4 linked regions of the Saccharomyces cerevisiae S288C genome follow. Changing the gene in region 3 together with the main gene of any one other region gives a genetic interaction. Each region holds a gene or a part of one and is shown on either strand. Other genes may lie near its edges.

Evidence for each region.
Region 1: mutations in YPL039W (region 3) and YHC3 together harm fitness more than expected from each alone (negative genetic interaction), as found in Saccharomyces cerevisiae (one large-scale study listed by BioGRID).
Region 2: mutations in YPL039W (region 3) and PMT7 together harm fitness more than expected from each alone (negative genetic interaction), as found in Saccharomyces cerevisiae (one large-scale study listed by BioGRID).
Region 4: mutations in YPL039W (region 3) and YJR098C together harm fitness more than expected from each alone (negative genetic interaction), as found in Saccharomyces cerevisiae (one large-scale study listed by BioGRID).

What each region holds. Positions count from the first base shown.
Region 1 is NC_001142.9:320,346-328,258, reverse strand, and holds YHC3 (amino acid transporter YHC3), read right to left. Parts: upstream 3,296-7,913; coding exon 2,069-3,295; downstream 1-2,068. Other genes in the region: protein kinase IKS1, read left to right, coding at 1-141; BIT61 (Bit61p), read left to right, coding at 386-2,017; BNA3 (kynurenine--oxoglutarate transaminase), read right to left, coding at 3,539-4,873; linker nucleoporin NUP82, read right to left, coding at 6,102-7,913. UniProt on the Saccharomyces cerevisiae protein: Plays a role in vacuolar arginine transport. Involved in pH homeostasis. May be involved in ion homeostasis together with IST2. Not necessary for mitochondrial function or ATP synthase degradation.
Region 2 is NC_001136.10:1,071,098-1,079,961, reverse strand, and holds PMT7 (putative dolichyl-phosphate-mannose--protein mannosyltransferase), read right to left. Parts: upstream 4,098-8,864; coding exon 2,109-4,097; downstream 1-2,108. Other genes in the region: GIC2 (Gic2p), read left to right, coding at 1-914; SRB7 (Srb7p), read left to right, coding at 1,513-1,935; PFU1 (Pfu1p), read left to right, coding at 4,791-6,227; HNT2 (bis(5'-adenosyl)-triphosphatase), read left to right, coding at 6,474-6,560, 6,650-7,216; peptidylprolyl isomerase family protein CPR5, read left to right, coding at 7,405-8,082; RSC3 (Rsc3p), read left to right, coding at 8,576-8,864. UniProt on the Saccharomyces cerevisiae protein: Probable protein O-mannosyltransferase involved in O-glycosylation which is essential for cell wall rigidity. Transfers mannose from Dol-P-mannose to Ser or Thr residues on proteins.
Region 3 is NC_001148.4:474,497-482,159, forward strand, and holds YPL039W (uncharacterized protein), read left to right. Parts: upstream 1-4,728; coding exon 4,729-5,679; downstream 5,680-7,663. Other genes in the region: cyclin-dependent serine/threonine protein kinase SSN3, read right to left, coding at 1-211; MRX11 (Mrx11p), read right to left, coding at 622-1,245; isoleucine--tRNA ligase ISM1, read right to left, coding at 1,497-4,505; YPL038W-A (uncharacterized protein), read left to right, coding at 5,686-5,877; MET31 (Met31p), read left to right, coding at 6,039-6,572; EGD1 (Egd1p), read right to left, coding at 6,932-7,405.
Region 4 is NC_001142.9:609,337-618,316, forward strand, and holds YJR098C (uncharacterized protein), read right to left. Parts: upstream 5,821-8,980; coding exon 3,850-5,820; downstream 1-3,849. Other genes in the region: SFC1 (Sfc1p), read left to right, coding at 437-1,405; YJR096W (aldo-keto reductase superfamily protein), read left to right, coding at 1,859-2,707; JJJ3 (Jjj3p), read left to right, coding at 3,077-3,595; ubiquitin-specific protease YUH1, read left to right, coding at 6,240-6,950; AIM25 (Aim25p), read right to left, coding at 7,015-7,998; mitochondrial 37S ribosomal protein mS42 RSM26, read left to right, coding at 8,898-8,980.

The sequences.
Region 1 (7,913 bases), on a different chromosome or scaffold from region 3:
AAAACGGGGTCGTGGCTCTCTTATATGTCACTGATATTGTTGGGAATGGTTTTTAAATCACCAGCTGATGAAAGAGGTAAGCATGCAAGAGCGTTGGTTTTACTGGCCTTCATCGCCGCATGCAAAAAATACATATACTAACAATAAGTACACATTGCAAACTAAATAGCACGTAATTTATTTTTACTTTACAAATTTATAGAAAATATTCTCGCTTATCACCAATGTTCACGAATCATCTTCACCTCTTCTAAGGGCCGGTGACAAAGGTGCATAATGTTAGAAAAATTGACCGATGAGTAAATTTATAGAGGGAATAACCAAATGAAAAGATCTAGGTGACAGAAACGCCAATTGACCTCTGTAGAAATAAAGTTCTTTCATTATGACAGCAGAAGATATACTCCTTCGAGAAAGAACATCTACTACGACACAACGCCCTGTCAATAGCGAACAATACCTTAATGTGCAATTAGCCACAGCCCCAGTAAAAAATTTTCAGACTACAAGCGAGATTAGCCGGCAAACTCTTGTAGACACATCAAATGATGACGTTTATTCCATCAAGAATTTGAAGGGCTCGAGGAACCCCATTAGCCCTAGTGTTTCTAACGTTGGCTTCCAATCCATATTCCATACAGTAGATCATCCTCGATCGAAGGTCAGTGTGGCCTCAAATCATTCCTTGAGGAGCAATGACAATGCCTCAGCTGCAACATCTAAATCTGGTTCTTCTCAGATAGGGGAATCTCATAGCGTTGACACGGTGGAGTGCTCGAACAATCTATCTAAAAAGTTATCTTCTGATGCAATATCCATTACTCAGAAAAGTTTACACTCCACGCCCTCCGGCAGGTATATGAAAGGAAAGGCTTCTGGCTTTTTTAATAGGAGAAACAGAGCACATACGACCATTTCATCGGATCCTGCCTCCTTTTTGACAGATTCAAGCACCTTACATAATAGTTCACATTCATTTCGAAACGTGATTAAGAACTTTTTCCAAAATAAAAGCCACAGGCACATTGGTCAAGATGCTATCGAGCCTGCAATTCCAAATTCCTTGAGTAAATTTCTGCATTCCTCTTACGGAAGACATAAATCTCCGTCACAATTTATTCATACTAATGCGGGGCAACTTGTGGACTCAGGAACTTCTGTGTACTCATTGAATGTTAATCCATCTGGTGTCAATCCCAACACAATCGTTGAGGATCCGCTTTCTGGAACTGATCCTGCCTCACCGAATCCGGTCTCAATGTTACACGACCTTTTAAGAAATTTACCATCTCTGGAAGCTAACTATAAACACTTCAACTCCCAAGAACTGACAACCCTAACAAATAATATTTGGAATATATTTTGTAGTAACGTAGCAGAATTATTCAGAACTCAAAGAATATGGAAACTCAGGGCCAAAATAGAAAATTTTAACGAAGTTTTAGAATTCTATTGCATTTTAAAAACAGATCCAAGAGTCACACATAGCGGCATGAATAGAATTATCAGCGATTTGAAAGAATTTTTGGTTAGTTCCCTATACAATTTAGAAAACCAAATTGTTTTTAACTATTCTAATGAAGACACAATAAATAACGCATTGAAAAGATTAGGCGTTATATGGCGGATATTTTATCAAGAGGTATATTATGATTTAGCCGCTGTGTTATTACCGTTGGATCAGAGTATCAGAGAAGATGGTAATTCTACGGTTTTAAAGTCAGGCAATGAAAGTCGGACTCACATTAATGGTAATTATTCTATTGGGTTTCTTTTGCTTATGTGCTTTAGAGATTCAATAGTCTTACCTTGTTATGAAAACTTCGTAAATAGTAACGATGGTATCAGCAAAAGTTTTCAACTTTACATTTTCAATCAAGAAGAAGAAAGTAATGTCACAGAAACAGATAAATTGACATTACTGCAGTGTTTTGGCATATTGAGTACCATTCAAAGTAATGATAGAAATCAACGAATTATCGAAGAGTTATTAGCAGGCATTAGAATGAGTATATAGAAAGCATCTAACACTTTATTTCAATCTCCTATTTAATATCACAACAAAACTTTATTCCATCCTACACCAAGGTCTGTCATCGGCAATTTGATGCCTACAAAGTTTGGGTTCTAGCCCCAAACCAAGTAACGCAGCCAAAAAAACGCCAAAGGAATCAGCGATGGACACAGCACCCATGGCGAACTCTGTTTCATCAGGATCCTCTTGTTCGAGAATATTTAAGAATGTGTTAACATATGACGCACCACCAAGAAAACCCTCATAGAATATTAATATCATCACCGCCCAGGGCGAATGTGTGACATAAAACCATGATTGCAGTACCGTTATGCACAAATTCACACCTTGTAAAAACGCTAAGATGTATAAACTCCTCATTCTCATAAGATGTCCAAAGGATCTTGATATAAAGACACCTAATTGGTAGAGCGTTCCATAGGTTACGTATATATCTCTGTATTTATGGAAGAAAAATGGCATCGATTTACTTCTTTCATCACCATTAATCGGAAATAATAGGGTCGGAGCTACCGCTTGGTTTATTAAATATTCGAATAAGTAGACGGTGGTCAATGGAACCATGTATGGAAAAACCAATCTTCGAAGTCTCTTGACCGTTTGCAAAATGTGCTGTCTTGTAGAATACAGGGATTGCGAAGCGTTGGTATGTGTAAAGGCGACAGGAAAGGGCACCAACTGGTCATCCTCTGCTTCGTCAATTTGTTGAAGACTTTGGTAAGTCAGGTTGGTATCATTGGATTCTAATTTAAAATAAAACAAAAATGCAAATGGAAGGAGACTAAATACTAGTAAAGTTAGCTTCACTGGAACTTTAAAGATTGAAGTTAAGAACATATAAGATGCTCCGCCAATGATTCCTGCACCACCAGTACCTGACGACCATCCATTCAAAGAAATTTGTTTGTAATAGTGTGTTAGCTGTAGGAATGTCACTTCTCCAAATCCGGAAGATATAGATGCGAAAGATATTCCTAAAAGACAAACAAACAAGTTTTTAAAAGAAACTAAGAACATTCCTAAGCAACTCATCGTGATCAAAGACCATATTCTATAGCTGTACTTGATTCTATCAATAAAGAATGGGGAACACAATTTAATGGCGAGTGATGGGAATATATCTGCTAGCAATACTAGAGATTTAGGCAAGGTAGGACCCACGATATCAACAGCTGCTGAAAGTATTACCACATAAAGTACATTATTGATCAAACCAAAGAGCCAAAAGTAGCAATATATCTGATGAGATTTGTCACTCATTTATATTTACTTGCGCTATATCTTCATATGTGTTTAAGTACTCTATAAATACACTGTTCAAAACATTACTAAATGTTCATATTGTCTATTTTTCATTAAGGGTTCACTTTTTCTTGTAGTACGCGAAGAAAATATGGAATTATTCTGGAATATTGATGTTTATATTTACCACTTCTGCATAAAAATATACATGCTTTATAAAATCTATATATTGAGAAAAAGGAGTATAAAAAAAAATTTATCTTATAAGTAGTCCTTGAGTAGTTTTAATCTCTCTACGGCATTTTCTAGATAAGCATCATCTTTACAAACTGCAAACCTTAACAAATTCTCAGCAGCCTTTTCGTGCTCTTTGATATAGAATTCAGTTGGTGGAATGGCAACCACACCTAATTCATTGATCAACCAGTGAGAAATGCGAAAATCTTTTCCCTTATTCAGGATCTCCTCTGGGTAGGGATAGTCCTCGGGAATTTTCACTTTAGAGAAATCAACGAGGACAAAATATGTACCCTCTGGAGCTGTATATGGTAGTCCCAATTCATCAAAGATCGATGTGAAAATTTTGAATTTGTTGATATATTCCTGTCTCATTTTTTCAAAATACCCAATTTTTAAAGCGTCGTTAATAGAGTTTGCACAAGCTTCCTGTAGAGGGGATGGAGATGCAAAACAAATTCTTGTATGTGCCTTAGCTGCATAACTTAACAACTCTGCGTTCAAGGATAAGACCCAACCAATTCTCCAACCAGTAGCAGCAAACGATTTACCGGCAGAACCGACCGTTAAGGTTAGTTGCCCAATTTCTGGAGAGAGTGTGGCAATTCTAGTGAAAGAATCAGTGAAGTAAAGGTGTTCATAGACTTCATCAGATATAATCACAACGTTGTGCTTGACGCAAATGTTACCTAAAGTGGTTAATTCCTCGCGCGTGAAAACTTTACCAATTGGGTTGTGAGGGGTATTGATAATGACAGCTTTTGTCTTGGATGTAATCGCTTTTTCGAACTGCTCAAAGTCAATGGTCCATTCTTCACCTCTAGTATTCCTTTGATCCAATTCCTTTGGAGGATTTATGGGGACGTAAACAACTTTACCACCGCAAAGTTCGATATTTGGAATATATTGGTCAAAGAAAGGTTCAAAAACAATAACCTCGTCGCCAGCGTTCAAAAGCCCCATCAAGCAAGAAAGTATACCTTCATTGGCACCTGTTGTTACGGTAACATTTTCCGCTTTCAATTCTGTGTTATAAATAGGAGAATACAACTTAATCAAGGAATTAATTAATGAAGGTCGACCTCTAGTTGGAGAATATTGATTGACCATTGGAATGTCTAGGGCTTTCTGAGCCTCCTTAATGGCGAATTGAGGAGGGGAATATGAAAAAAAGCCTTGGCCTAAATTAATAAGTTCACGGCCTTGGTTTTTGGAGTTATTGGCAGCTTTTGCAGCGGCTTCATTGGTTAGCGACCAAACATCTTTGGCAGTGTTAGAAGTGAAATATTTGTTGGCAACAACTTTCGGTCTCGAAGTAGACATTAGGTTCGTAAATTGACGAATGAATCGTTGTTTCATTGAGAGCAAGTAACAATGGATTCTATACGCAATTATAGTAAATTGAACACTTTATATATATCTCTATCGTACCTTCCCCTTTTAAACATGACTGAATTTTGGTATCTTGATTGTCATAATGACAACAAAAAAGCCACAGTTCTACGTCACGTGCTAGACACGACATGCTACTGAAGAAATTGTTATCAAATGAAAAGATACATTTATGTAATAACCACTACCAGGCACTTGCTAAAAAGAATCTACGTAAGAACTACATAAAGGTTAGCTTGTGCGCCAGAAAGTGATATCAAAGTTTTATGAACGCTGAACAATTTTGAGCCAGTAATTATCTTGGCATAGGAGACGATAAATGCCATCGTTCTTTTAAAGAGCTTATTAAGTTATTAACTCTCTTCGATTAGACATTCTCTTATCAAACGAGTTACGTTACATTTAGGAATAATGCGACAAAGATGGAGGTCTTGATTCCTAAATCCTACTCAAAACAATCTGCTCTACTGTCAAAATCCTTGCTCCGTAAATTGATTTCGTTGTCAGACGCTCACCGTACAAGAAGTTTGTGGGTATTTACATCGTAAGAAAAGTGCAACCAGATTCAATATTGAATTACCTGAGCGGTGTCTTCCTATATTAAAATGACGATTTTGTTTTTCTTTGTATTGTGAGGGTAGCAGATTCGTCTTCTGCACTTTTCATCTACTATTGCAAAGCCTAATACAAATACAGTTGTTGAATATAAAAATTCGAAATCAGCCTTCCATTCTCGAAAGTGAACAAGGAAACTCACTGGATAAAAATTCACACGAAAAGAAAAAACCGAAAAAAAGTAACTGTGTTGCTTGCAGAGGGTTTGATTACTCATAACCGAGAGACACGATCTGTAGCGGTGATATGAACGTATTCCTCACCTTCTTCTAACCCTTTGGAATAATAGTTTCCATCACTCTTTACAAAAGTAGCATTACTCACCAAATAAGGTCATAAAAAAGACTTTTATTTTGTATACATGTAAATTTTGGCAGCGGTTAGTGAGGTAAAAGAGATACGAATGAATATACGATACAATGATACAGCATACTGAAAAATCATCCTAACGATTTGGTGCACAGAAGGCTTTATATATTGACCAATTCATATATAATGTCCTCTTGCTACATGATATTATACCATTGCCCAGTTGTTTCTTAGCGTACATATATGATAGCAGACTATGCAAGTCGCTTACTCATTGAGTTTTAGTAGTAAATTCCTGAGAAACTTGTAACAATTCTTCATTGCATTCTTTAATTATCTTTGAATCTATTTCAAGCATTTTGCGTAGCTCATCCCATTCGTTTTGGCTCTTTTTATCGACTTTGATAGTTTCTGCCTCGATACGAGTTAGTTCACTCTTCAAGTACGATAAATCTTGTTGAAGGGATTTTTGAGAGTGAACAAAGCTGTTGAATTGCAATATTTGGTTTCGTATCTCTTTGAACCATTTCATCTCACCATGGCTTATTTTCTTTTCTTTAAATTTATTGGATTCGGCGATTTGAGATAGCTTCTTGCTCAATTTACTAAATCTCTCCATTAATTCTGACTGTCTGCTTAGTTGTGCATCCCATTTCTTATTTTGTGCTTCGAATTTTCTCCTTAAATCATCATCCTTTGAAATTATTTTGCATGTCGATTGTAGTTGGCGCGTCAATTCGAACTGTTGCTCATGAATTCTATTGTGGATAGAAACACCCAAAGTTTGAGCTTTAACAATTCTTTGCAAAAATTCTTTGGAAATATCCGTGAAAATTTCCAACTGATTTTCACTAGCTTCGTTTTTTAAAGGTATCTGGCGGTCTGCTGATGGGATAATTCGTTCACATGGACTAATACAGGCTTTTTGAAAATTATCGTTCAAAATAAGAATCTCATTTATGGGCTGTGTGAAACTCATTTTAAAACCATCTCCTACCGTGTCACTTTTTTCTGTACTGATACTTGTTTCAGCTGCGGTGCTTTGCGGTTTCATATCGCTTGAAATATTTTGAAAAGTCAATGTTTTATTCGACATCAAGGCTAAATTAGATTGGTCATTCCAGTTGATATACGCTAGGTTTGGAATTCTTTCTATGGTGGCAATATCCTCAAGTTTACTTTCAAATTTCAATCCTGCAAGTGGATTCAAATCCGATTCGTTGATACATTTACTCAATGTAGAAGCCCAGCTCATAAAATTTACTTGTTGTATAATATTATCGGAAATGACATAAAGTTTTCCCAACTGTTCAGGTAACGTTATTAGAGACTTAATTTCTCTTTGTAGTTTGACTCGTTCAATTAGAACCAAAGAATTATTATACACGTAATTGTCAACATCCCACGACATTGACATTTCCAAATCTTTGAAGAGTAAGATTAAAGACCCATCATCAAAACTGACACAAACAATTTCATTTTGCCCATTATCAATTAGTATGGTTGCAATATTTGTAGCAGTATAGTCATACAGCTCGCCGGGAAAGGGGTTTATCGTGAATGGTCCTTGAACCTTGGCTAAACGATATTCCTTTTGTATGTCGACTTTGCCAAATCTTGAATTCCAATTTTCATGCAGTTTTGACACAAACTGTAACTGCTTAATAACATTCCTTTTAACTATAACATCTGTTGTAGAATCCAGGGACTCGTACATTACTAAAGATTTGTTTAGGATCAAGTTGAGATCTTTCTCATTTAACAGTAATACTGACGGTAAAAATGGATAAAATGCAAAGATATCACCGCCTTCTGTGGTGTTTAGACAATATAACGTCAATCCGTCCTTACTGAATTCTAAATCTGTGATGTCGTTAACACGTGCATCTAAACCAAAGGAGTTGTTCGGTTTGTTCAAAACGATAGGCTTTTCTTGCGAATTAAGGATGTCAAACATCGTGATAGTGTCATCCTCTTTCAAAACCACTATACAAGAATCACGATAACTCTTTGGATGAAACAAAACTTTCTTAATGGACGATTTCGGACCAACTTCTTCTTCATCAATTGAATAGTGGAAAAT
Region 2 (8,864 bases), on a different chromosome or scaffold from region 3:
CTTGCCACCACAGGAGAAGTAATTCTAACTCTGCAAAGTCTAAAGAATCATCGTCATCATCGTCCAGCGCCAACAAGACAAATCACAAAAAGGTTTTCCTTAAGCTTAATTTGTTGAAGAAAAAGTTGCTTGGTGCCCAACCGGACATAAGAGGTAAAGGTATCTCCACACCATTTGATTTTCAACATATTTCACATGCTGACACTAGAAATGGATTCCAAGATGAGCAATTGCAGGAACCTTCATCGCTGTCCACAGAGATTAAGGACGACTATACCTCCTCCTCAAGCAAGCGGGATTCGAAATCACTAAATAAAGCTTTTGTCACTGAAAGGATCCCTGCTAATCGTGAAAGCAAACTCATTTCAAGATCGCACGAAAATAAGACATCAAGACTATCAGTCGCGCGTTCGATCTCAGTAACGTCCTCCAATTACTCTAAAAACACACAAGGAAACAATCATTCCATTAATGGGAGAGTCGTATCTACGTCAACTATGGCTACATCTATTTTTGAGTATTCCCCAAACGCATCTCCAAAACAATTTAAAAATAAGTCACACGCTCTGGGTCATAGATACACTAATTCCACGGATTCTAGTGAGTCTTCGCTGGATTTTTTGAAGAACTACAACTTCCCCACACTACTTGAAGATAAGCCTATTTTAGACTTCTTGCCTCGTTCTCAGAGGTCAAGCGCTTATCGTAGCCTTTTAGAGACCCCAAACTCAAATAAGGACTCAGCAAAAGCCTTCTTTCCTTCACGCCAAAGCCCTCTTCCCAAGAGAAGAAACTCTATAGCTACGCCTTCTCCACAATCTAAATTTTCCTACTCTGACTCCCCTGTAAACCATAGAAAATCTTTCGATGATGTTCTTTATTCTTTCAACCAGCTCGAGCCCCTGCAAACTTAAGCTAAGGACAGAAAATGAAAAAAAAAAAAAAAAAAAATTCAAAGAATCAGCTTATAAAACATATTCAAGGACCATCTGAAGTATCATTCATTCGTTTTTTACTCGTTAATCTCATTCATTCGTTTCCTCATTCTTTTTTCTTTGTTCTTTATTTCGGCTATTTTTTCACTATTAAAATAACTAGAGCTAACAATATTATTTCTTCTGCTTTAGTTACAAAACAAGGACATTCATTTAACTTGGCGTTATCCCATACATTCGTTTATTATATCTTCTTTTAAAACACAATTTCTTTTACAGTTAAACTTTTCTGATTTATTATATATTACTTAAGATTGTTCATATAACTAACATTTATATGCTTATATGCGTGAAGTGCGCTTTTGTAGAACATGTGGCTGTTTCTGTAGAAGCCTTGTCTTTCTCTGTAATCCTTTAAAGGCCAACCGTACGTGCTTAATTACAAGCTTTGTTCGCATTGCAAGAAAGTTAGAAAAAAAATCAATTCTGAAAGATAATTATAATTCAAACGGTAAACCATTGGTTAAAAGAGGGACATAACATTTCACTAGTTCAATACATTATATGCTCTTTAACAATGACAGATAGATTAACACAATTGCAGATATGTTTAGACCAAATGACGGAGCAATTCTGTGCTACTTTAAACTACATAGATAAGAACCATGGTTTTGAACGATTGACCGTAAATGAACCTCAGATGTCCGATAAGCATGCCACAGTAGTACCTCCTGAGGAATTTTCTAACACGATAGATGAGCTATCCACGGACATTATACTTAAAACAAGACAGATAAACAAGCTTATTGACTCGTTACCTGGTGTTGACGTTTCAGCTGAAGAGCAATTAAGGAAGATTGATATGTTGCAGAAAAAGCTAGTTGAAGTGGAAGACGAAAAAATTGAGGCCATCAAAAAGAAGGAGAAACTTTTAAGGCACGTTGATTCTTTAATTGAAGATTTTGTAGATGGCATTGCAAACTCAAAAAAGAGCACATAAACTTAAGTTTTACAAAGAAATTTGCGAACAGAGGACAGAAAATGTACTATAGTTATATGGCAGAGTTAAGCGTATGTATGTTATTCTTATAAATAATTGTGCTACTCTATTTGTACCGGAGAATTATTGAAGCAATGGGAGAAAAATCATAATGGAGAAAATCTTTCTACGAGTTACTTTGCAAGGCAATCTAACGATTCTAAAAGACACAATACACTAAAGAAAAAACTTTGGAAGTACAGTTTTTTCCCCAAGTTGAAGTGTGGACTCATTGTGAAGATGTAAAAATGTAAAAACCAACCGACAATGCACTCCCAGCCAAATTCATTGTAGACCTCCCATTTGATAGAAAAGGAAGGTTCAGCAGTTGTCCACGGATTCCAAGATATCATTCTCTTACATTGCACGCACATGAAAATGATCATCGAGAGTAAGGATCCATACCATGCAAAATTAAACCAAACTGGAGAGTCTGTGTCTAACGTAATTGGCCATTTTTCCACGGCGAACGCATCTTCAAAAGTGACCTTATTTTTACCGTATTTAATATAGTAATTGTACTTGTATTGTTTGAAAATATATTCTTTGAAAAGATAAAGAAATTGTGACCAAGATAAGGTATGATTGAATTCTGCTGAAGAACTTATTTTGCCGATATAATATTCTATCATTGGGACTTGGAAATCGACTGGTAGTTGTACTGAGTCTATTAGAAAAGTGGTTCTTGGTATTACTGGGTACTCCATACATAGGACTTCTTGCTCAAAGCGGCCCCATTCAGGTAACCGAAGATCATGGCCCAATAGCCCACATCTCTGGCCGTTATTGTAAAAGCGTATCTCTGATTGAAGCGGTTTAATGTATTTATCATCTGCGTTATCCTTTTTATCATTGTTGATTTCATCTTTAATCAGGAGAACATCCCATCTCTCATCCATTCCTCCTTCGTAGTTTGAATCTTTCGTGCATGAAATTTGAAAGTCATAGTCCTGCTCGCTGATGGGAGGTTTAGCAGTGCTGGCTCTCAATAATTTTCCAGTAGATTTGTGTCTTAGTTTTATACTTTGACCAAATTCTACAGGTATCAATTGATCAGCATGGTATACCTCAGAAAAACTCAAATTTAATGTAGGATGTTCTATTAACCATTCATTGTCTGCCGCGAATTCTTCAAATGATAACGCTACTAACTGTTCGTCAACATCTGATGGATACGAAATATCGTGAGAAGCAAGATATCCGACCATAGAATCTAAATGACGTAATGTGATCGTTGATCCATAGTACAATCGACTCGGTTGTACTTGAGGGCCTCTTAAATAGGACTTGAAATATGTGCTCATATATTTTGAAAATTGTGGCGTGTCTGTCTTAAAATTCGAAAGTAAGTTCGAATAACTTATTATGAAGATGGAACCAGGGATAATCAAAACGAATAATAGACAGAGAATGACAAATTTTATTATTTGGATGGTCGTAACTTTAACGTCGCTTATCAGTCTATCAAATTGACGTACAAAAGAAAGAATTACGAAGGCCCAAGTGACAATTCCAATAAATTTAGAAGAGATTGCCAGCCCTAAAGAAATAGATAATGTAATCACATTAGCAAACCAATTCGTAGTTCCCAGTTTTGCAATTGAAATGCTTATAAAACTGTAAATTACTACTGAGAACAGACACCATTCTAAACTGTCAAATGATATAATAGTGCCCTCATTTCTGAAAGTTTCCCAGTTGGATAATATCAGCAAACCTGTTGCTGAAATTAAACGAGAGCAATTGATTCTCCTTGTTATCAGGAAAAGAAAACCTAAAGTCGATGAATTCAAAAACAAAGAAACGTATCTTAAATTTTCTGCGATCTTTAATCTTCGAATAATGGAGTAGAACTGTATTGTAAATGGTGGCAATTCATGGATGTAAAAAGCCTTGTCTAGGTAAAACTGAATTAATTGGGAAAGTTCTTGTTCACTATTATTGTCCCATGGTCGGTTCCAGAATGAAGAAGAGTGCGATTTCCATATTAATGTGAAATTGGTAATAACAATCAAAAACGCGAAAATATAATCAAGCGTCTTTAAGTGACCAATTCCACATTGTTGGAAAATATTATAGGGAATGTACTTTCTGTAGGGCCCCTGTAATCTCAAGTCCTTCATGTTTTGTAAGTTAATTTTTTTCTGTTCAAACACTATCGCCCTTAAGTGTCTACGTTCTTATTCTCCTTAAATAATAACATTTTTAGTATTCGATTTTCTATTTTTCCTTTCTTCATTACTTCATTACCAAAGTAAGAGTGACCGATGTAGGAAGCAATATTGAAAGGAAGGGAAGGGGAGCACAATGAAACAAAGGGTTAGTGTGATGAAAACGACAGGAAGTAACTATAAGAAGCAGTAAAGTTGAGACTTGCTGCACCATTTTTATTGCCACACCTTTATTAGTTCTTTATGAATCCTAAGCTGTCATCCGTAATATTGTTCCAATAGTGTAGCGGCTATCACGTTGCCTTCACACGGCAAAGGTCCCGAGTTCGATCCTCGGTTGGAACATTTGTTTTTTCACTACTACTATATTTTTAGTTGAATCCTAGGCCACATTTAATTGACTAATAGACTTAAGATCGAGATTAGTAATCTTCTGACTTTTTTCTACTGTGTAATTGTTGAATGATAGTCTCTATTTTATTGTTAAAGCCCTGCGGCCGGGTTACCTCTTCATGAGGGGTAAGGGTTGTCAATACAAGATGTGTCTAGTATTGAGAGTAATATGACGGCATCGTCAAGATTTGTACATCGACAAACATGTGCAACAGCTCTAACACATAATCATATCAACCACAGTACTCAGTAATGGCAAACAAATCACGACCCAAGAAAATCAAGGCTCCTTACAGGAAGTACGTGGCGGGAGAGGGTTTCTCCTCTACAAGAAATGATAATAAGGCTAAAGAATTCACTATCACTATACCGGAGGATGCAGAACTCATTGAGACTCCACAGGGGTCTTATTACTATGATGAAACCAATGATACTATAGTGAAATTGACACGACTGAGTAATGAAAAAAAGGATAAAAAAGGACGTAAGCAGTCGCCATCGTCATCATCGACATCGTCCTCCAAAGGAGAAAAAAATGGCAAAGTCATAGAGAGTGAGGAAGCGAGGATGCATTCAGTATCAGTAAAGATGGTTTTGCCATGGGAGATACAGCATAGAATAATTCATTATCTTGATATACCAGAGAAAGAAGAAAAATTAAATAAAACTGCTAATGGAAAAAAAACTACGACTGGTATAAATATGAACTACTTACTAGTTTGCAGAAACTGGTACGCCATGTGTCTACCAAAGCTTTATTATGCACCAGCGTTAACAAGTAAGAATTTCAACGGGTTTGTTGATACAATAATCATAAATAAAAAGAAGAATTTAGGACACTATGTTTTTGAGTTGAACTTGTCTACAATTTTACAAAGTGGTAGAAATTCATTTGTCTCCAAGCTTTTACGACGATGCTGTTCTAACCTAACTAAATTCATCGCACCACAGACAAGCTTTGGTTACGCGCCTTTGATTTCATTGAAATCGTGTCATGATTTGAAATTTTTAGACTTGGGTTTAGTATCGGAAACAGTTAAGCTGAAGGAGTTATTTTCTGCCATTAAAAATTTCACTAAATTAACGCATTTATCTTTTCCCAGATCGTCGATTGACTGCCAAGGGTTCCAAGATATTCAATGGCCACAGAATCTCAGGTACTTGAAATTGAGTGGAGGTATAACAAATGAATTTGTGATTGATACGAAATGGCCAACAACTATTACAACTTTAGAATTCTCTTATTGTCCTCAAATAACGGAATTGTCTATTTATTCGTTGTTATCACAGATCGGTGATAATTTAAAGCATTTATTTTTTCATTATCCGATGCCATCTCTGGCAGAAAATTCCCTAGACCATGTCTTCACGTACTGTGCTAATTTAATTTCTTTGCAGCTCATGGTTGATTACTGTTCTAAGTGGTGCTTTTCTGAATTCATGCTAAGTAAATTGGTGGAATATGATAGGCCTCTTAAAACATTGTACTTAGAATGCAGCGGATCCTTGGGATTAGCTTCTAAGATTCATCCCGATGACTTGACTATAGCCATACTGGAATCCAGGCTGCCCTGCCTAAAGAATATTTGTGTTTCTCCCAAGCTGGGGTGGAACATGAAAAGCGATGAAGTCGCTGATTTGGTAGTCTCTTTGGAAGATCAAGATGGCAGTTTATATCTTAATTATTAAAATGTTCATTGTTTGTTTTATAAGAGTCAGTGTTTTCTTTTAGACACTATTAGGAAGAATTATTTTATCCGGCCTAAAAAAAATATTTTACATGCAAACTTGCATATATTTTGCCATTGACACCAATTAGAATGTGTAATTTTCCTGGTTTATACGTTTCTCAAGATATGGTCGAATCTTCTTTTCTGCTCAATTGTAAGAAGCGAAGAAAAAAAGGAAGCTCCATTGATCTATCTTGGGCTCAGAATGATCTTAAGCAAAACAAAGAAACCTAAAAGCATGAATAAGCCAATATATTTCAGCAAGTTTCTTGTAACTGAACAAGTTTTCTATGTATGCACTCTCATATGTTTTTTTGTACCCCATTCGCACCATTGCGTTACTAACTATATGGAGACCTTATAATCTCTGCTTCTTTACAGAAGTCAAAATATACGTATGCATTGGTAAACTTGAAACCAATTGTACCCGGACATGTACTGATCGTTCCACTGAGAACTACGGTTTTAAACTTATCAGATCTGACCATGCCTGAATCTCAAGATTATTTCAAGACTTTACAGTTAATACATAGATTTATTAAGTGGCAATATAAGGCTGACTCTATCAACGTTGCCATCCAAGATGGACCTGAGGCCGGACAGTCGGTACCCCACTTGCATACACACATTATTCCACGTTATAAAATAAACAATGTAGGGGATTTAATATACGATAAATTAGATCATTGGGATGGTAATGGGACTTTGACTGATTGGCAAGGAAGAAGAGACGAATATTTGGGTGTTGGTGGTAGGCAAGCAAGAAAAAATAACTCTACATCGGCCACTGTAGACGGGGATGAACTCTCACAAGGTCCTAATGTCTTGAAGCCAGACAGTCAAAGGAAGGTTCGAGCTTTAACCGAAATGAAAAAAGAAGCTGAGGATCTTCAAGCCAGACTAGAAGAATTTGTATCTTCTGATCCTGGTTTAACACAATGGTTATAGTTCAATAAATAATAGATTCATACTTACGATATAAAAAATAGTAGGGAAGTTAATTTTCGTTTCGCAGCGAATCCCTTTTAGCAGAGGAAAAAAAAGATGAAACCATCCTTACTACTTTCCTCGAGGAGACTCAACAGTAAAGGTTACTTTCAATTCAATAAACAAAAGGCACAGCGATATCCGCAATTATGAAGCTTCAATTTTTTTCCTTTATTACCTTATTTGCTTGTCTCTTCACAACAGCCATTTTTGCGAAAGAGGACACGGCAGAAGATCCTGAGATCACACACAAGGTCTACTTTGACATTAATCACGGTGATAAACAAATTGGTAGAATTGTTATGGGATTGTATGGTCTCACCACACCCCAAACCGTTGAAAACTTTTACCAGTTGACCATTTCCAGGGACCCTAAGATGGGTTATTTGAACTCTATCTTCCATCGCGTTATTCCTAACTTCATGATTCAAGGTGGCGATTTCACTCACAGATCAGGTATTGGGGGTAAGTCTATCTTCGGAAACACGTTCAAAGATGAGAATTTTGATGTCAAACATGACAAACCAGGCAGATTGTCTATGGCCAATCGTGGTAAAAACACCAACGGATCCCAATTTTTCATCACCACCGTCCCATGCCCATGGTTGGACGGTAAGCACGTTGTCTTTGGAGAAGTCTTGGATGGTATGGACGTAGTTCACTACATTGAAAACGTTAAGACCGACAGTAGAAATATGCCTGTAAAGGAAGTTATTATTGTGGAAAGTGGTGAACTGGAAACTGTTCCTTTGGACAATAAAGACGCCGCCAAGCTACAGGAAGAGATCAAAGCGGAAGCTAGCGAAGCAGCCCACGATGAACTCTAAACTGCATCACTATTCAGGAGATGTATAGGCCAGCTATGTAACTATATAGTGCTTATAACAGTTGATTATCACATAGAACGAGTATGTTACCCTATGGCCCTTTTCTGGCACAACTTCACAAGAGTATTTCAATTGACCAACGTGGGTCTTGTTGACCAGCTGGGATCACACAGACCAAGAACTACCTTTATTATTAGGAACATACTGCTTTCTGGACACTTCCACTGCTATACCTTCTCGCAAATAGCCATAGTTCACCAATATTCATTCGGCCCGTTAGACGCTTGTAAGACCACTTTCCCGTTTTCGCCCGAGAAGATATATTAGCTGCTTACATTAGATTATTTCATCAAAACTCACGGCTTTCAAACCAAAGTCATTGGTGCTCTGCTGCAATTGCCCCATACTACGCAGATATTTAAAATCGAGGTTTCTGTGATATTTTCTTAAGCTCTTATCTACAAAAATAGCATTTCAGAACCAAAAAACAACGATGGATATTCGTGGTAGAAAAATGAAAAAACCGCCTGCATGCGTGCAGTGCCGTAAGAGGAAGATAGGCTGCGATCGTGTTAAGCCGATTTGTGGGAACTGTATGAAGCATAATAAAATGGACTGCTTTTATCCGGACGTTCCCGGACAATACGTTCCCTCTAGTTCTTCCTCTTCCAATACACGCCAAGTAGCCAACGGTCCGTACTTAAACTCTTATTACGCTTCTCGTCGTGTCTCCAAGGAAACTGCTGCACTTTTGCAGAAAAATCCAGAACTGGCTTCTTTGG
Region 3 (7,663 bases):
CAGATACCCGCATTCTATCTTTTCTTGCCCTATAAGGTCCAATAGTAAAAACATCATTATTGGCCATTAGCATCGGGGCTTTTCCATGCACACTTCCGATTGTGTTTTTCTTTCCAACGAACGATTGAGCTTGCTGTTGTCCTTGTACCTGCATAGGCCTTTGGTACATTGGCTGATAGGAGTTTTGTGCTCTATCCTTGCCATTATACATTTCTCTCTCCTCCCGTCAAAACTAGGCGGCCTTAATTCAATTGGGAAGCAAAATTACTAACTTCAGTATACCCTTCCGCCTTTTTTCTTTCCTATAAACCTTTCTTGTATCCTTTTTGTCAGCAGTGATTGTGGGATAACTTTCAAGTATTGAAGCGGGAAAATGAAACGCAACTTAAGCCACACCACGTAATTCTTGAAGACTTTTGATGTATGATATTTATTTCACTGTTAAAAAAAGCTATAATTTCCTCTAATCAAAACTCTCTAAAACGAAATCAAAAATATTCGTAACACATATATAACGAAGTACAATATATTGGGAATCTATAAATCATATGCCGAGTGCGCAACTTCAACTGAAAACAATAATCCGTCTCTGGGCCAGAAAAAAAAAAGGAAAAAAAAGCTTTATTTCTTAATAAGGTGCTTTAATTTTTGAAAGGGAAGAAGCAACCATTTCCCAAAATATGGTGCTCCCCAGATACTAATGAAAATGCGTACCGGATATAGTAATTTTACTGTAACGTAGGCTACTGTGCCAGATAAAATCAACTTGTTTTTGTTGAGGCATTCCTGATATCTCTTACCAACAAATTTCTCCATAGCTGTATGACAGCTATCCATTAGGCCATTTAAGAAGTTTGGGAGCTTAAAATCATCAGAAAGATCGAGGTTATAAAGTAACCACCATAGTAGAAACAGTGGTAGTATGGCAGTTACCTCATGCAAGATGAAGAATGATGTAAGTGTTGGAACCGTGCCGGCCTCACTGAGGCGGTCGAAATAGTGTGAAAATTTAGGATTCTTGTTTAACCTTGTTAAAAGTCGTGACTTGGAAAATATTTTACGTAGTCTATCCTCCCTTCTTTTCACTGGATCTAAATTTCCCGATATGAATCTAATTTGGGTTGATCCGCCGGGCCTGGTGTTCATAAACGTGGTCAATTGCGTTGGCCTTTTAAGCATGAGCTCCAACGGTCCAGAGCCCATCTGCAGTTGACAGGGCCTGAAGAAAAGATTCATGACAGTCATGTTCCTGGTGAGGGTGCCTTGGGTGTAACACTTATCCTTACACGGTCTCTCAAAAGCAATATTTTTACATTTCTCTTCTTTGCTTCCTGTTCGTATAACGCGCTGAGAGCTGGTAAGAACAATAGGCCGAGGCCCTGCATCAAAATGTCAGTAGGGGACCTGTTAGGTACCCACTAATAAGTACAAGAGGGTTTTTATTTTCTAAGAGCCAATAATTGGCATTCTTTATATACAGGAAAGGTACATGTCATTCAAGACATGAGATGATCCACAGCTTCTTTACATCTGTCACACAATTTATCCTCTTCGGCTGAGTTGGCCTTCCAACATCTGGGACAGTTGTGCCTTTTGCTTCGTTCAACCAATATTTGAACGTTTATTCCGCTTCCCAATTCAATAGTTGGTAGACTGTTATTATTATCGTCCATTTGCAATATATCAACAGCAGATGATTGCAATATGTCGCAAAGCTCGTCAGAACTGAATGGGAGGTGATGCTTGGTGAAAATGGTAACGTGACTATGTGTTGTTTTGGTGACACCTTCTTCTAGACTTAACCTCTTGAATTCCTCCTGGAACTGTTTTAGAATTTTTAGTTCAAAGTTTTCAAAGGAGGTGACGATTTCCGTATTTGAGTCCAAAAACGGCCATTTTCCACGCATCGGATTAATGTCTATATGTTCTTGTCCTTGTAACCATCCTTCTGGTATATACTTCCATACTTCTTGGACCATAACGGGTAATATTGGTGCAAGAATTGCCCTATATGCATTTAGTATATGGACAAGCGTTGTTTGGACCTGCCTTCTTGCCAATGACGATATTTGGTTGGAATATAAAATATCCTTTGAGATATCAAAATAAAACGCCGATAGCTCGTTATTTAAATGATATTGTAGAGTAATGAGAACCTTGGAAAAGTTGTACTTTTGGTAGTGTTCTCTCGTCGTTTCCAGCAGTTCGTTTATCTTATACAAGGTATATTGATCAACACGGCGTAATTGTTCAATCGGCAAAAGGTTGAAATCTTGGGACTTCTGTAAATTACTCAATAAATAGCGAAAAGTTAGTCTAACCTTTTTTAGAGCTTCTCCTACATGTTTCATCACAGTCGGGCCAGCAACTATATCAGTTGTGAAATTCGATTGTGCTATCAGATACCTCAAGCCATCAACACCCAAAGCTGGTAAGCCTAAGTTTTCATCGCCTCGAATTATTGCTTCGGGAGAAATTGTATTTCCCACAGATTTTGACATTTTCAGACCATTCTCATCTAGGGTAAAACCATGAGTAATCACTTCTTCATATGGTGCAACAGGGACATTACTTGATGCTACTTTTGTTAGCAGTGAACTTTGAAACCATCCTCTATGTTGATCAGATCCTTCTAGACAAACTTGGTACAGGGGGGATGGGAGTTTTGACAACTTTAAGCTTTTTTCATAAAAGTCTTTGATCACACTCCATGACGACCCACTATCAAACCACACATCCATAGTATCTTGAGAACGACAGTATTCATGCGCTACGTCGTGATATTTTTCTGGCAACCATTCTTTCATGTCATTATCTTTATCGTTAAACCATGCATTAATTCCTTTTTGTTTGATTTTTTCTATGGCATGTGCCAAAATTTCTGAATTCATCAAAACAGAATCCGGTTCGCTCTTCTTGTAAAAGCTTAATATAGGGATACCCCATGAGCGTTGCCTAGATATGCACCATTCATTTCTGCTTTTCATAAAGGATGAAAGTCTTGAATAGCCTCTTTTAGGACAAAACTTGACGCGGCTGATGCTTTCCAGAGCCAAGTTTTTTACATCGTGTAAATCTGCAAACCACTGTGGAGTAGCTCTTATTATGACAGGTTTCTTGGATCTCCAGTCGTACGGATAAGAATGCGTGTATTCGTGAGATTTGTAAAGTAAATTAAGGTCGCTTAACTTACATAGAATGATTTTCGCGGTTTCGGCATCCAATACTTGCCTACCTTTTGTTAAGTCTCCTTCATCTCTCACGATGGATCTGACGGACTGAGGAAGTTCATTTAATTGGTAGCGGCCCTGGTGATCCACGGGAGAATAAATTTCAAGACCATTTTGAATACCAATGAGATAGTCATCCTGTCCATGCCCTGGTGCTGTATGAACCAATCCAGTCCCTGTACCGCTGGTAACGTGTGCACCATGTAATAAGGGCCTGCCAACCTTATCGTCTACTAAGAGGTTTTGATAATATAGCCCATTTAGATGAGTTCCTTGAAACTGTTTGATAGTCTCAAATGAGTTAGTTGTTAGGCCCAATTTATCAATGGAGCCGGTCTCTACAAGGATAAGTTCACTATTTAAGCGTAATAGGGAGTAGGAAAAATCCTGATTGAAACAGATTGCTCGATTAGAGAGAAGAGTCCATGGAGTACTGGTCCAAATCAAACAGTATATAGGCAAGTTATTCGTTATTCCTAGTTTTTTGCACAGATCCATCTGGGATTTCTTTTCAAGAGGAAATTTAACATAAGCAGCGATGGATTTATGGTTTTCATTATATTCTAATTCGCCCTCTGCTAACGCTGTTCTAGTTTCTGTACCCCAGTAAACCGGTTTGTTCTGTCTCTTAATCAGTCCTCTTTCGTACATTTCTTTAAAAATATTTAGCTGATTAATTTCATAGTCTTTATCCATTGTTAGGTATGGTGTTTCCCAGTCCGTTAAGATGGCAAAATGTTGGAAAGTTTCCCTTTGCCTCTTGATTGCCTTTTGTGCATGTTTTAAAGCCATTGACCTGATTTTTAAAGGCGATATTGACTCGATCTGTTGCGCGCTTAAATCTTTCAAAGCTTTAATCTCGATGGGTAGTCCATGACAATCCCAGCCAGGCTTATAAAAAATGTACTTCCCCTGTGAAAGTTGATATCTGTTTATGATATCTTTCAGAATTTTATTTAGAGCATGACCGAGATGGAGCTCGCCGTTGGCATAGGGCGGTCCATCATGTAAGATGAACAACTTTTCTTTAATGAACTCTAATTTTTCATCAGTCGTATTAAGCTTTGAAAATTCTTCGAAGAAATCACGTAGCTGCTCCTTGTAAACTAACTGCGAAGATTTTGGTATTAATTCCCTCAATGTAATCTCTAAGTTTGATCTATTAGGGAATTTGGTCTTGGGCAAGTTTAATGTTTTTTGGTAGGCATGTTTGGCGAGATATCGCTTGCTAATAATGCTAAAGATATGTTGAGGCACAAGCCTGGAGCGCTTCATAAGTAGCTAAAGATCGTTCTTAGTATACTGTGTTCCATAACTTCTAGCCTTGGTCCTTTATATTTGCTGTTTTTCTGCGTTTCTTAACTCGCTTGCGGAAAAAGAATCGACATTTTCAGAACAGGATTTTATTGTTTTTAAAGTACATTATATGGGGCGACACATCATCGCCATCTATGTTAAATATTTAAAGAATACGGGGTAGAATTATTCACGCTGGGGGATGCTGAAAGAGGAGTATAATTTGAGCGGTGCTGATAACATGGCATCTGCTGAGTTGTCATTTAAAAAGCAAAAAGTGGTATTGAAAAAGTTCATGATAGCGCAAGTGACTAAGGGGATTATGCAGCGGTATGCGAGCCTATTAGTTACCATGCCTAGTGATGATGACAATGCAATTATTGGCACAAATCATTTGAAAACAACCAAATTTTTAGAAATAATCCTACACAGAGCCAAATCATCGCATTTACAGTTCAAAAAGGTCTGTTGCATTGTCATCAAGTTTCTAGATTGCTGCTCGAAGGAAACTAACTACATGAAGTTTTTAAAGTTCAGCTTACACAAACTATTTGTAGCTGCTTTCATCTTAAGTGTGCCAAATGTTGTAGGCGATGACCGCGACAGGATTACCACGAGGGATGAAACCTATCATCTCTATTCCCAGATAACAGGCTTGCCACTGGAAGAAGTGATAAATTGTTGTTCTATTGTGAGGCCTGTACTTATTCGGCGGAGTAGACAACAACGCAGGCAAATGTTATCTCGACGTGAACAACATTCGTACTTCCTCAGAAGTTCTTTTATGAACTCCAATTCATCAGCATCACCTTTTTTCTCTACCAATAGGTCAGCTGATGATCTACATGTACATACAAGGGCATACTCGCTTCATAGCCATTCCGATGGGGAAGGCCAAGATAGGCGGTCGGAACATGAAGAAACGCATAGCATGGGGGCTGATGCCGATACATATCGACAAACTACGTTTATCCCAGACACACCAAATGGTTTGCATTCTAGATCATTAATTGAGTGTGGGATCGAACCCACCCAAGTAAGTGACTCTGGTGAATGGTCGGGTCAAAGTAACGGATATGTTTTGGTGACAGAATTACAGGAGTTTAACAAAATGGGTAAAAAGTTAGTACAAGAAGCTTTTAGGATAGTTTAATAAAGTATGGTTTGTCGTTTTGTTCATCATTCAAGGGTCATTTTTATTTCCATTTATGATTTCTTGAGTACAAAAGGCAAAAAAAACATGTATAATTATACACAAGAAAAAAAAACAAAACAAAAGAACACTTTCACACAAGCAAGTATATATTATGAGAATTTTTTCGAGTCTTACAGAACCATATCTTGCCTCTAAATTTTAGTCTAAAAATTTTGCTAGCCCATCAATTTTTTTTTTGTTCTAATGCAAAATATAACATGGGTAAGAAAAAGAAAAAGCCGTTCCTCAGTACGTAAAGAGATTTGATCATTAACAAGTTGGGCTCAATATACACAGTCGATAGTCTATATGTGCATATGAAACTGGCGCAAGACATGAATGTAGATGAAATATTTCTCAAACAAGCGGCAGAAGCTATAGCGGTAATCTCATCAAGTCCCACTCATACGGACCCCATAATACGAGAGCTACTCCACAGAATTCGACAATCCAGCCCATTGAGCGCAGTTATACCAGCACCAGAAAATGTTTTAAAGGCTGGGGAGCCGGAAAATATGGCTAGAGGTCTTATAAGGATTCCAGAAACACAAACAAAAAGAACAGGAGGTAACAACCATAGCAAGGAAGGCGCACAGCTCTACAGCTGTGCGAAATGTCAGTTGAAATTCAGCAGAAGTTCTGATCTGAGAAGACATGAAAAGGTACACTCACTCGTGCTGCCGCATATTTGCTCAAACTGTGGCAAAGGGTTTGCCAGGAAGGATGCTCTAAAAAGACATTCTAACACACTGACCTGTCAAAGAAACAGAAAGAAACTAAGTGAAGGTTCAGACGTTGATGTAGATGAGCTCATCAAGGATGCGATAAAGAATGGTACCGGCCTGTTGTAAGGCTAGAGGAAAACGTATTTGTCTCCATCAGCACACCTACACATACATATATAGATAGATATATACTTTAGCCATTGAGATAAGTAGAATAAAAAAACGTTGTAATATTCCGATACAGTTAGTGACATGTTCTCTACTTTTGCCAATTTTTTGCGCACAAAGTGGTGACGTACAAGTTCATCATTTCACGTGTGCAGCATAGTGTGGTATATTGTTTTTTTATATTTTATTTTTTATTTTTTTTTTTTTGCAGAAAACAGTGTTTGTATTATATGCTTTAGATATGCTAAAAAAAATGAAAAAAAATGGAACAAAATATGTGTTTTTTTATTTAACGTTAAAATTAAAGATTAAGTTATTTATTCGACGTCAGCATCAAAAGTTTGACCTTCAACTAACTCTGGAATAGCTTCATCCTTCTTTTCAGCATCAGCTGGAGCCTTGGCTTCGTGCTTTTCCATTTGGGCAGCCAATTGAGACAAGGCTTGGATGGCTTCAGGGCCCAATTGAGAGATAATACCTGGGAACAAATCTTGCAAGTTCTTTTCCTGTGGTAGACCGTAGAATACAGAAGTGTTGTGTTGAGCAGCAACTTGGACACCGACCTTGTTGAAGTGCATGACCTTACCGTCGTCCTTGAAAAAGTTGGCTTCGGCGACGTTGTCAATGGTGACAGCGTGCAACTTAGCTAATTGACTTTGCAACTTGGTGTCATCCTTGTTGGCACCGGCAGAAGAGCCTGCCTTCTTGTTAAGCTTTCTTCTAGTACCACCAACTTTGTTGTTAGCAGACAACTTTTGTAGCTTAGCTAATTTTTCTTGGTCAATTGGCATTATGAATTATGAGTCGCGTCTGGTGTGAGATGTTCTATTCTTAAACCTCCCTAGAAAGAATATTCGCTCTCTTGTGACAAAGGAGGGGTTACTACTTAACAAGCAATTGCAGCTGTTTCCACTACGAAATCTTCCAATGTCAACGAAAAAAATTCAAAAATTTTCTGCTTTTTTTTTCAACATCTGCCGTACTAAATGATTCCACAATAATCCATCATATACCATTACCCTGATTCCCATCGAAGAAAAGGCGGTGTC
Region 4 (8,980 bases), on a different chromosome or scaffold from region 3:
GGTGTTAATGATTAGTCCTCATTGTCATAATAAAGTGTGATGATGGAGGCAATGATGATATACGGTAGTACTACTGCTCGAGGTGCTATCTTTTAACCAATCCTTTGAGATTCTTGTCGCCACGGAGTTACTACCTTTTACAAACCGTAATGTCACATTTTGCATATATCTTATGTATAAATATATAGTTCACTTACTACTTGTTCTCGTTTTGTTAACTTTCTTGTTGTAGTTCTTCTTGTTCTTGGCGTTTCCCCCTTTGTTTTCTATCTGCTTCATAAGTAAAGTGCAAAGCATTTTGGAAGATATTATCAATTGAGTCATTGAAAGAAACTTGGCATCTTCCCTATTACTAAAACTAAGAATACTTGATTCAAGAAAGAAGTTTATATTAGTTTTAGCCGTAAGATAACATAACAAAGAAGAAGAAAGAAAAATGTCTCAAAAAAAGAAGGCTTCCCATCCAGCCATCAATCTCATGGCTGGCGGCACAGCAGGTTTATTTGAAGCATTGTGTTGTCATCCTTTAGATACAATTAAGGTGAGAATGCAAATATACAGACGGGTAGCTGGTATTGAACATGTTAAACCCCCAGGATTTATTAAAACTGGGCGTACCATTTATCAAAAAGAAGGTTTCTTGGCTCTGTATAAAGGTCTAGGTGCTGTGGTCATCGGTATTATACCTAAGATGGCAATCCGTTTCTCGTCTTATGAATTCTATAGAACCTTATTGGTTAACAAGGAATCAGGAATTGTGTCTACCGGTAATACTTTTGTTGCTGGTGTTGGGGCTGGTATCACCGAAGCTGTTCTTGTCGTGAACCCGATGGAAGTTGTAAAGATTAGGTTACAAGCTCAGCATTTAACTCCGAGTGAGCCAAATGCTGGTCCTAAATATAACAACGCCATTCATGCAGCCTACACTATTGTCAAAGAAGAAGGTGTTTCTGCCTTATATAGAGGCGTTTCCTTAACTGCGGCAAGGCAAGCAACTAATCAGGGTGCTAACTTCACAGTTTATTCTAAACTGAAGGAGTTTTTGCAGAATTACCATCAGATGGATGTCCTACCTTCATGGGAAACTTCTTGCATAGGTTTGATTTCGGGTGCTATTGGGCCGTTTTCCAACGCTCCATTGGATACTATAAAGACAAGGCTGCAAAAGGATAAGTCCATCTCATTGGAAAAACAGTCCGGTATGAAGAAAATCATAACCATTGGTGCTCAACTACTGAAAGAAGAAGGTTTTAGAGCTTTGTACAAGGGTATTACCCCAAGAGTGATGAGGGTGGCTCCAGGTCAGGCTGTCACCTTTACCGTTTATGAATATGTAAGGGAGCATTTAGAAAATTTGGGTATATTCAAGAAGAATGACACACCAAAGCCAAAGCCATTAAAGTAGATGATGAACAATGGGACTACAAAATGAAATAAAGAAAAAATAGAAATAGGCTAGAAGATCAATTATTAATCGCCCTATTCTTCCTTATTACCTACACAAAATAAAGCAGCAACATAAGAAACAAAAACAAAATGAAAACAAACCAAATAAATCTATGTAAGCATACTCATTTCAATTTGATATTCATTACTTGACTTTTTTGTCCTTATTTGAGGCTCCATAAGCGCGCCATTTTTCCCTACTCCCTTTTTTCGTAAATAGTAATAATGTGCTGAAAAGAACAATGAAGTAGTTATCATACATATTCCGTCGTGTCGATATGAGGGGAGGTGTCTCTTTCTTTCATCCCTTGTCGCAACCTCCAATATATAAGAGCATAAGCAACTGATCTTACTTTAGTAATTAACTTAGCATACCTAGCCCGAAGGAAGAAAAAAAATTCACCTCAACAACATGGTTCCTAAGTTTTACAAACTTTCAAACGGCTTCAAAATCCCAAGCATTGCTTTGGGAACCTACGATATTCCAAGATCGCAAACAGCCGAAATTGTGTATGAAGGTGTCAAGTGCGGCTACCGTCATTTCGATACTGCTGTTCTTTATGGTAATGAGAAGGAAGTTGGCGATGGTATCATTAAATGGTTGAACGAAGATCCAGGGAACCATAAACGTGAGGAAATCTTCTACACTACTAAATTATGGAATTCGCAAAACGGATATAAAAGAGCTAAAGCTGCCATTCGGCAATGTTTGAATGAAGTCTCGGGCTTGCAATACATCGATCTTCTTTTGATTCATTCGCCACTGGAAGGTTCTAAATTAAGGTTGGAAACTTGGCGCGCCATGCAAGAAGCGGTTGATGAAGGATTGGTTAAGTCTATAGGGGTTTCCAACTATGGGAAAAAGCACATTGATGAACTTTTGAACTGGCCAGAACTGAAGCACAAGCCAGTGGTCAACCAAATCGAGATATCACCTTGGATTATGAGACAAGAATTAGCAGATTACTGTAAATCTAAAGGTCTCGTCGTCGAAGCCTTTGCCCCATTGTGTCACGGCTACAAAATGACTAATCCAGATTTATTAAAAGTTTGCAAAGAGGTGGACCGTAATCCAGGTCAAGTTTTGATTCGTTGGTCTTTACAACACGGTTATTTACCACTACCGAAGACTAAAACTGTGAAGAGGTTAGAAGGTAACCTTGCAGCCTACAACTTTGAACTGTCAGACGAACAGATGAAATTTCTTGATCATCCTGATGCTTATGAGCCTACCGATTGGGAATGCACAGACGCGCCATAAAAAGAAAATGCGAACCGTAGAATAACGTATATAGAACATATAATTAGTTTACGTTTCACAAAGTATTAATATTACATGTAGCTTTTTCAGGACTTTCGATCTAAATCAAAGATTAAAGGAGCTGCTAGAGGTAGAAAAGGAAATCATTGACTTTTCTTGAAGATTTATGAGCGGGTAACTGGAGATGGAAATTTTCAGAAAAATTGTAAATGGATGCGATGACTTCGATGTGACGTTACTAGTCTTACCATTGTAAAAACCACTATCGGTGCCAAAAGATAAGCGCAATCAACTAAGAAATTTACCACGCTCTTTGTATTGTATTTATCTCCAATTTAATCTTTCTTTTGGTGTGAAAATTTAGCGAAAATGTCATTGGTGAATTCGTTAACACACTACGAAATTTTAAGAATTCCATCGGATGCAACACAAGATGAAATCAAAAAGGCATATAGGAATCGGTTACTAAATACGCACCCCGATAAACTTTCTAAAAGCATACATGATACGGTTAGCAACGTCACAATCAATAAGATTCAAGATGCTTATAAAATACTATCGAATATAAAAACTCGTCGCGAATATGATAGGTTGATCCTTGAAAACTATAAACGCCAAGGATTTCATAATTGTGGTGATGGGCTGGATGAATTTTCCTTAGACGATTTCTCATTTGATGAAGATAAGCTGGAGTTTATGATGAATTGTCCTCGCTGTCAATTTGTTGGTGGTTTTCATTTTAGTGAGAGTTTGTTAGATGAATGCATTGATAATGTAGACGCTATGGAACGGAGTCATTCTGGTTATCAATTATTAACCCAATGTAGCGCATGCAGCTTATGGCTGAAGGTTAATTTTGACATCGAGGAAGAGCAAGAAGGACAATAATGAAAATGGGAGGGGAAATTGAGCATATCAGATAAATCTGTTTATAGAATTATTATTTTACTTCGTGGGAAATCGAATGGTGTATATAAAAGAGGTTGTAAAATTGACGAAATAAATAGTATTTAGGCAACTAAAGATAAAAAAATATTATTTATTTTTATTCGCGGTGCGTTGCCAGATTTTTTTTGACATGCGGAATTTTGGTAAAAAGAAAAATGCAGATATGAATAGTAAACAAAGGAATAAAAAGCCTTTCATGAAGAAGTTCGTGTTCGAGATCTTCTTCCTTCTTTTTCGCTGTCGACGATAGATATGAATGCTTTTGCCATTGATTTCAAATCCGTCATTAAGCTAACATGACCTGAAGAACTGGCGATTTTACAAACAACTGGAAAGCCTCTCTGTTCAGGCAATAACCATTTATGGTGAACAACACCGTCGCCCGGACCATAGTAAAAATCTTCATAATTCCCATCTTTTATATCTTGTATACCGTTCACTTTAGCACCTCTAACAGTGGGAACCTTGTTACCGTAAACCATGGCCAATGGAGGATATTCTTTGTTCGGGTCGTAATCTAAGCTATCCAAATAATTCTTTGTACGTTTTAAAGTTCTCGCTAAATATTCACAGCTATCTTCATAAGATGTATGGAAGACTTCATCGAAAGGCACATCCCTTGGTACCTGTTTATTATTGCCGGCTACATTCCTAACAACAGGTGCATTTAGGACAAACTTGGTAGTTGCGTTTAGGGTAGCTTTAAGCGAAAGCGCTGATTTCGTTTTCCTTGGTAATAATTTTGATTTTTCGTGAGCTGATTCCTCTCTTTTCTCATTGACGAGAGGTGACAAGCCAAGGGTTTTCCAAACATCTGTATCAAAAAAATCGAAATCATACCTCTCTAAGGTAATTTTGTCAACAAAACATCTACCATCTAACGGTAGAAAATAGAAACTACTTCTCATAAAAAAGTTGGTTTCTTTAGTGAAAATAGTTTTATTCCACATCACATCATCTCCAAACCTAATAGGACCTAAAATATTTGGACATTGGCTTGGGGAACCCACGTAAATAATACCTCTTATCAAATGAGTACAGTCTTGCAACACTTTATGTGCGACCAATCCGCCCATTGAATGGGCAATGATGTATATTCCCTTCTTATTTTTTTGCTTATTGTAAATTTCCTCTAGTTTAGTCGTTAAATGCTTGGCAGATATGTCCAAGGATAATCTCCAATCATAGCCAAACTGCTGAACATTTAAATTAGGATTTGCGTCTAGCCTCTTTATCAACCTCTTAGAGATATCAACAGGCCCTATATGTGTTAGCATTCCATCAGGGACAATCTCCTTCTGAGTTTTAAGTTCATCTTCGTCATTAGGTCCGATCAATAAATCGACTTTCGTCATATTCAAACCTGCCTTTAATGGGATCCAAATTCGCTTATGAGTAGTAGCATCCCTTAGCACACTACCTCGATATCCACCCATTATAACGACATCTCCTTCCAATTCATTCCATATAGATTCTAAACGCGAACGGTAATATCCGTCATGAGTTTTGTCGAATGGGTCTGCTGTTATTTGCTTAATGGAGTTCTTCAAGGCATCCATTTCCAAAGATTCTTTAACAGCCCTTAACCTTGAATTATCAATGCCCCTTTCGTATTTAAATAATTCTATCTCTTCCAAGGAAGAAATGGAGGTTGATTTTTTCAGTTTTTGCTTGATCTCATTCTTTCTTAGATTCTTTTTGATGAACTCATCTGGAGTCTTGGGAAGCACAGTTTTAATTATGGCTAATGGTGAACTTGATCGGAAATTTGTATTACCAAATGGTAAGGAAAAGGAGAAAGTTTTATGAGAGCTGTCATAGTTCCCGTCATGCGAATAAGAAATAATTTCATCGAGATCTTCATCATCAGCGTCAAGAGAAATGGCACTCGCTTGCTTCTCTTCTAAATTATGATAGTTATTGGGCCCAGTTGTTTCCTTCTTTCTTCCCCTTTGTTCACTATCGCTGTCTTTTTCTACTTTATTGCTTATAACTCTTGCACCTCCAATCAAGGTATCCACTTTCTCCATTGTATCCAATTCACCTTCGCTTTCATTTACGGAAAAAAAGCTTACATCACTACCACTATCACTTGAATCAGAAAGACATTGCTTGTTATATTTATCATTATCGGAAATAAGATCAGTAGCCGGAGTTGCCATCATTGTAATACTCCCCAGTTAACCTCTACAAGTTGATTCTTTTACGTATCACCAAAATAGGCAGGCTATTCTTACCCAGTCCTTTCTTTTTAAGGGCGTCATAGAGTTGTAAGCATTTTTTGAGAATGCAGTGATGAGCTATTAACTTCTCAAAACTTCCTGACGTTTTATTACCCGGATTGAAGTACCTTGTATTCTTGGAGATGTCTGTGGTCGAGTTAGGAAGTGTGAACATGCCTATCAACGCCCCAAAAACCAGTGCAGATAATGATCTGGAACAATTTTTCCGTGTTTTAAACTTCCTCAGTAGAAGTATTTTTATTTAGTCGACTATAAAGGTGGAAGTCCATACTTAAGAGATATTAAGGGTATTTTGATCAACAAGTAAGTAACAATCGTTATAAAAATACAATAGCAAAAGTATGAGCGGAGAAAATCGTGCTGTGGTGCCGATTGAATCAAACCCTGAAGTTTTTACAAATTTTGCACATAAATTAGGTTTAAAAAATGAATGGGCGTATTTCGATATCTATAGCTTAACAGAGCCAGAGTTACTAGCATTCTTACCAAGGCCAGTGAAGGCCATTGTGCTGCTATTTCCGATAAACGAGGATAGAAAATCGAGTACCAGTCAACAAATTACAAGTTCTTATGATGTTATATGGTTTAAGCAATCAGTCAAAAATGCGTGCGGATTGTATGCAATTCTTCATTCTTTGAGCAATAACCAGTCATTGTTGGAGCCCGGCTCCGACTTGGACAATTTTTTAAAATCTCAAAGTGATACTTCAAGCTCGAAGAATAGGTTTGATGATGTTACTACCGACCAATTCGTCTTGAATGTAATAAAAGAGAATGTACAAACATTTTCTACTGGCCAGTCAGAAGCACCAGAAGCAACTGCAGATACTAATCTACACTATATCACATATGTGGAAGAGAACGGAGGGATATTTGAACTGGATGGAAGGAATTTGAGCGGACCCCTCTATTTGGGAAAGAGTGACCCAACTGCCACCGATTTGATTGAACAGGAATTAGTTAGAGTGAGAGTCGCCTCATATATGGAAAATGCAAATGAAGAAGATGTATTAAACTTTGCTATGCTAGGATTGGGCCCTAATTGGGAATAATAATTGTTTTATTACTGCGTAGTCAAATATGTATTTACAGAATTCTTTTAAATATATAATTCACCTACTCATCATAGCCACCGCCAAAAGAAAGGAAACCTCCAGTTTGTCTGGAATGTCTCGAAAAATAATCGAAATCGATGGACACAGCGTTTGCTAATAACACGGCCCTTTGATCCAAAGTTAGTACTTGAGAACTTAGCATCTCAGTAGGATAAATATTATCAAAGCATCTCTGCGAATCAAATCTAACAACATAAACACCAGTATCGGTAAACATTTCTCTTCCTAAACCAACCCAATTTCTGTCTACACTCGCCATTATCTTACCATCAGCATCTGTTACAGGAAAATCAAATGATAAGAAAGGTGCATCTATCTTACCAAATTGGTCAAAAGTGGATCCTTCTACTCCATCTTTCTGGAATAATTCGTAACGACGCCTCCAGAGATGCCAGTTCTGAATGGTCTCTCCTACTGTCGTTCCTTCTTTACCGTCGTGATAGTGAGTGGAGTCACTGCCATTATCAACATACGCGGAAGGAGGTATGATAGTCTTTATATGAGAATTGATGAACGAAAAGGGCCTTTTAATCGTCATTATTACATTTCCCCAATTATCAAAGACATCTACCAAAAAAGGACGATGTAGACGATAAAACTGCCGCATTATGGCCTTTGTTATAGAAAAATCTCTTTCCATCATTGATGCTATTTTGTTTCCGTTCACATCCATTATGGCATACCTATTAGCCTGCTCGAAACCTAGAAAAACGTTCATAAATTCTATTTGCCTTTCGATAATAACTGTCGGTTCATTAAGTATCGTAGTAGCTATAGGATCATGTACTTTTATTATCCCGCTATTGCTATTTTCTTTAAATGCTTTTACTGATGGCGCCTTCGTTATTTGGTTCTTTTCACGAATTACTCTCCTAAATGGACCGTTTCTGATTACTTTACCAGAAGAAACCGTTAATGTTTTACTCAGTGTACTGAAATTTCTCATACATGATCGGTAAGTTAGAAATATTGCCGTTCTATGCATGTCGGTGTTATCCTTTATGTTTGACCTTTAATCTTCTTTTGTTTTGTCTTTTTTCATTTCGTACTTTTCAAATCCTTATTGCCGGTAGGCTTACAAACTTGAATGAAGTATATAACGAAGTCAATGAAACCTCTCCCATACTAGGTTCGGAACCTGTTAAGGGGAACAAGACCGCGCACTTGTTATGAAAATTCTTCCTATAACTATATTGAAAGCTATTTTTCCACATCGGCAGACAAACGACTGTCCAGACTTAGTAAAGCTCTTGGTCGATTTTGTACATTGCCTTTCCTTTACAGCTCCAAGATATTATATATATTTTTGACAAGGTAATCAATTGCCCCACAAATCTTCCATATAAAAACCTATATATGCTATTAACCGAATGGCAATTCCCTCTATCTCATATCTCACCTCTACAGTAATCCTTCCGTGGTATCTGGTCTATAGAAATGGGTACTGTTTCATTTAAACGTGTTATCACTTGATCCAATGGTTACCATCTGACTTTGGCATCAATCCCTTCTTAAAAAGTAACCAATCAATGATATGCGATTGTTTATGAAGTCCATTCAACAAACAATGGGAGTTTGGCCGAGTGGTTTAAGGCGTCAGATTTAGGTGGATTTAACCTCTAAAATCTCTGATATCTTCGGATGCAAGGGTTCGAATCCCTTAGCTCTCATTATTTTTTGTATTTTTTTTTTTCACTTCCCATCTTTCCAAGAATCTTAGGAGAGGTGCCGCAGTACTTTTTTGGACTGAGCAAGAAGTATCGCAAAGCATGGAAAAGTAAGAAGGGTATAGCAAAAGTCTTTTCACAATAAGAGGATATTTTGCAGGCAAATTTCTGAAGACCACATAATATCGTCTTCTTGGCGCAACTAAGACGCAGAGAAATGCTTGTTTTCAAAAGGGGTATTCACGTAGTACCTAAACTACCAAATTCTAAGGCCCTACTGCAAAATGGAGTGCCTAATAT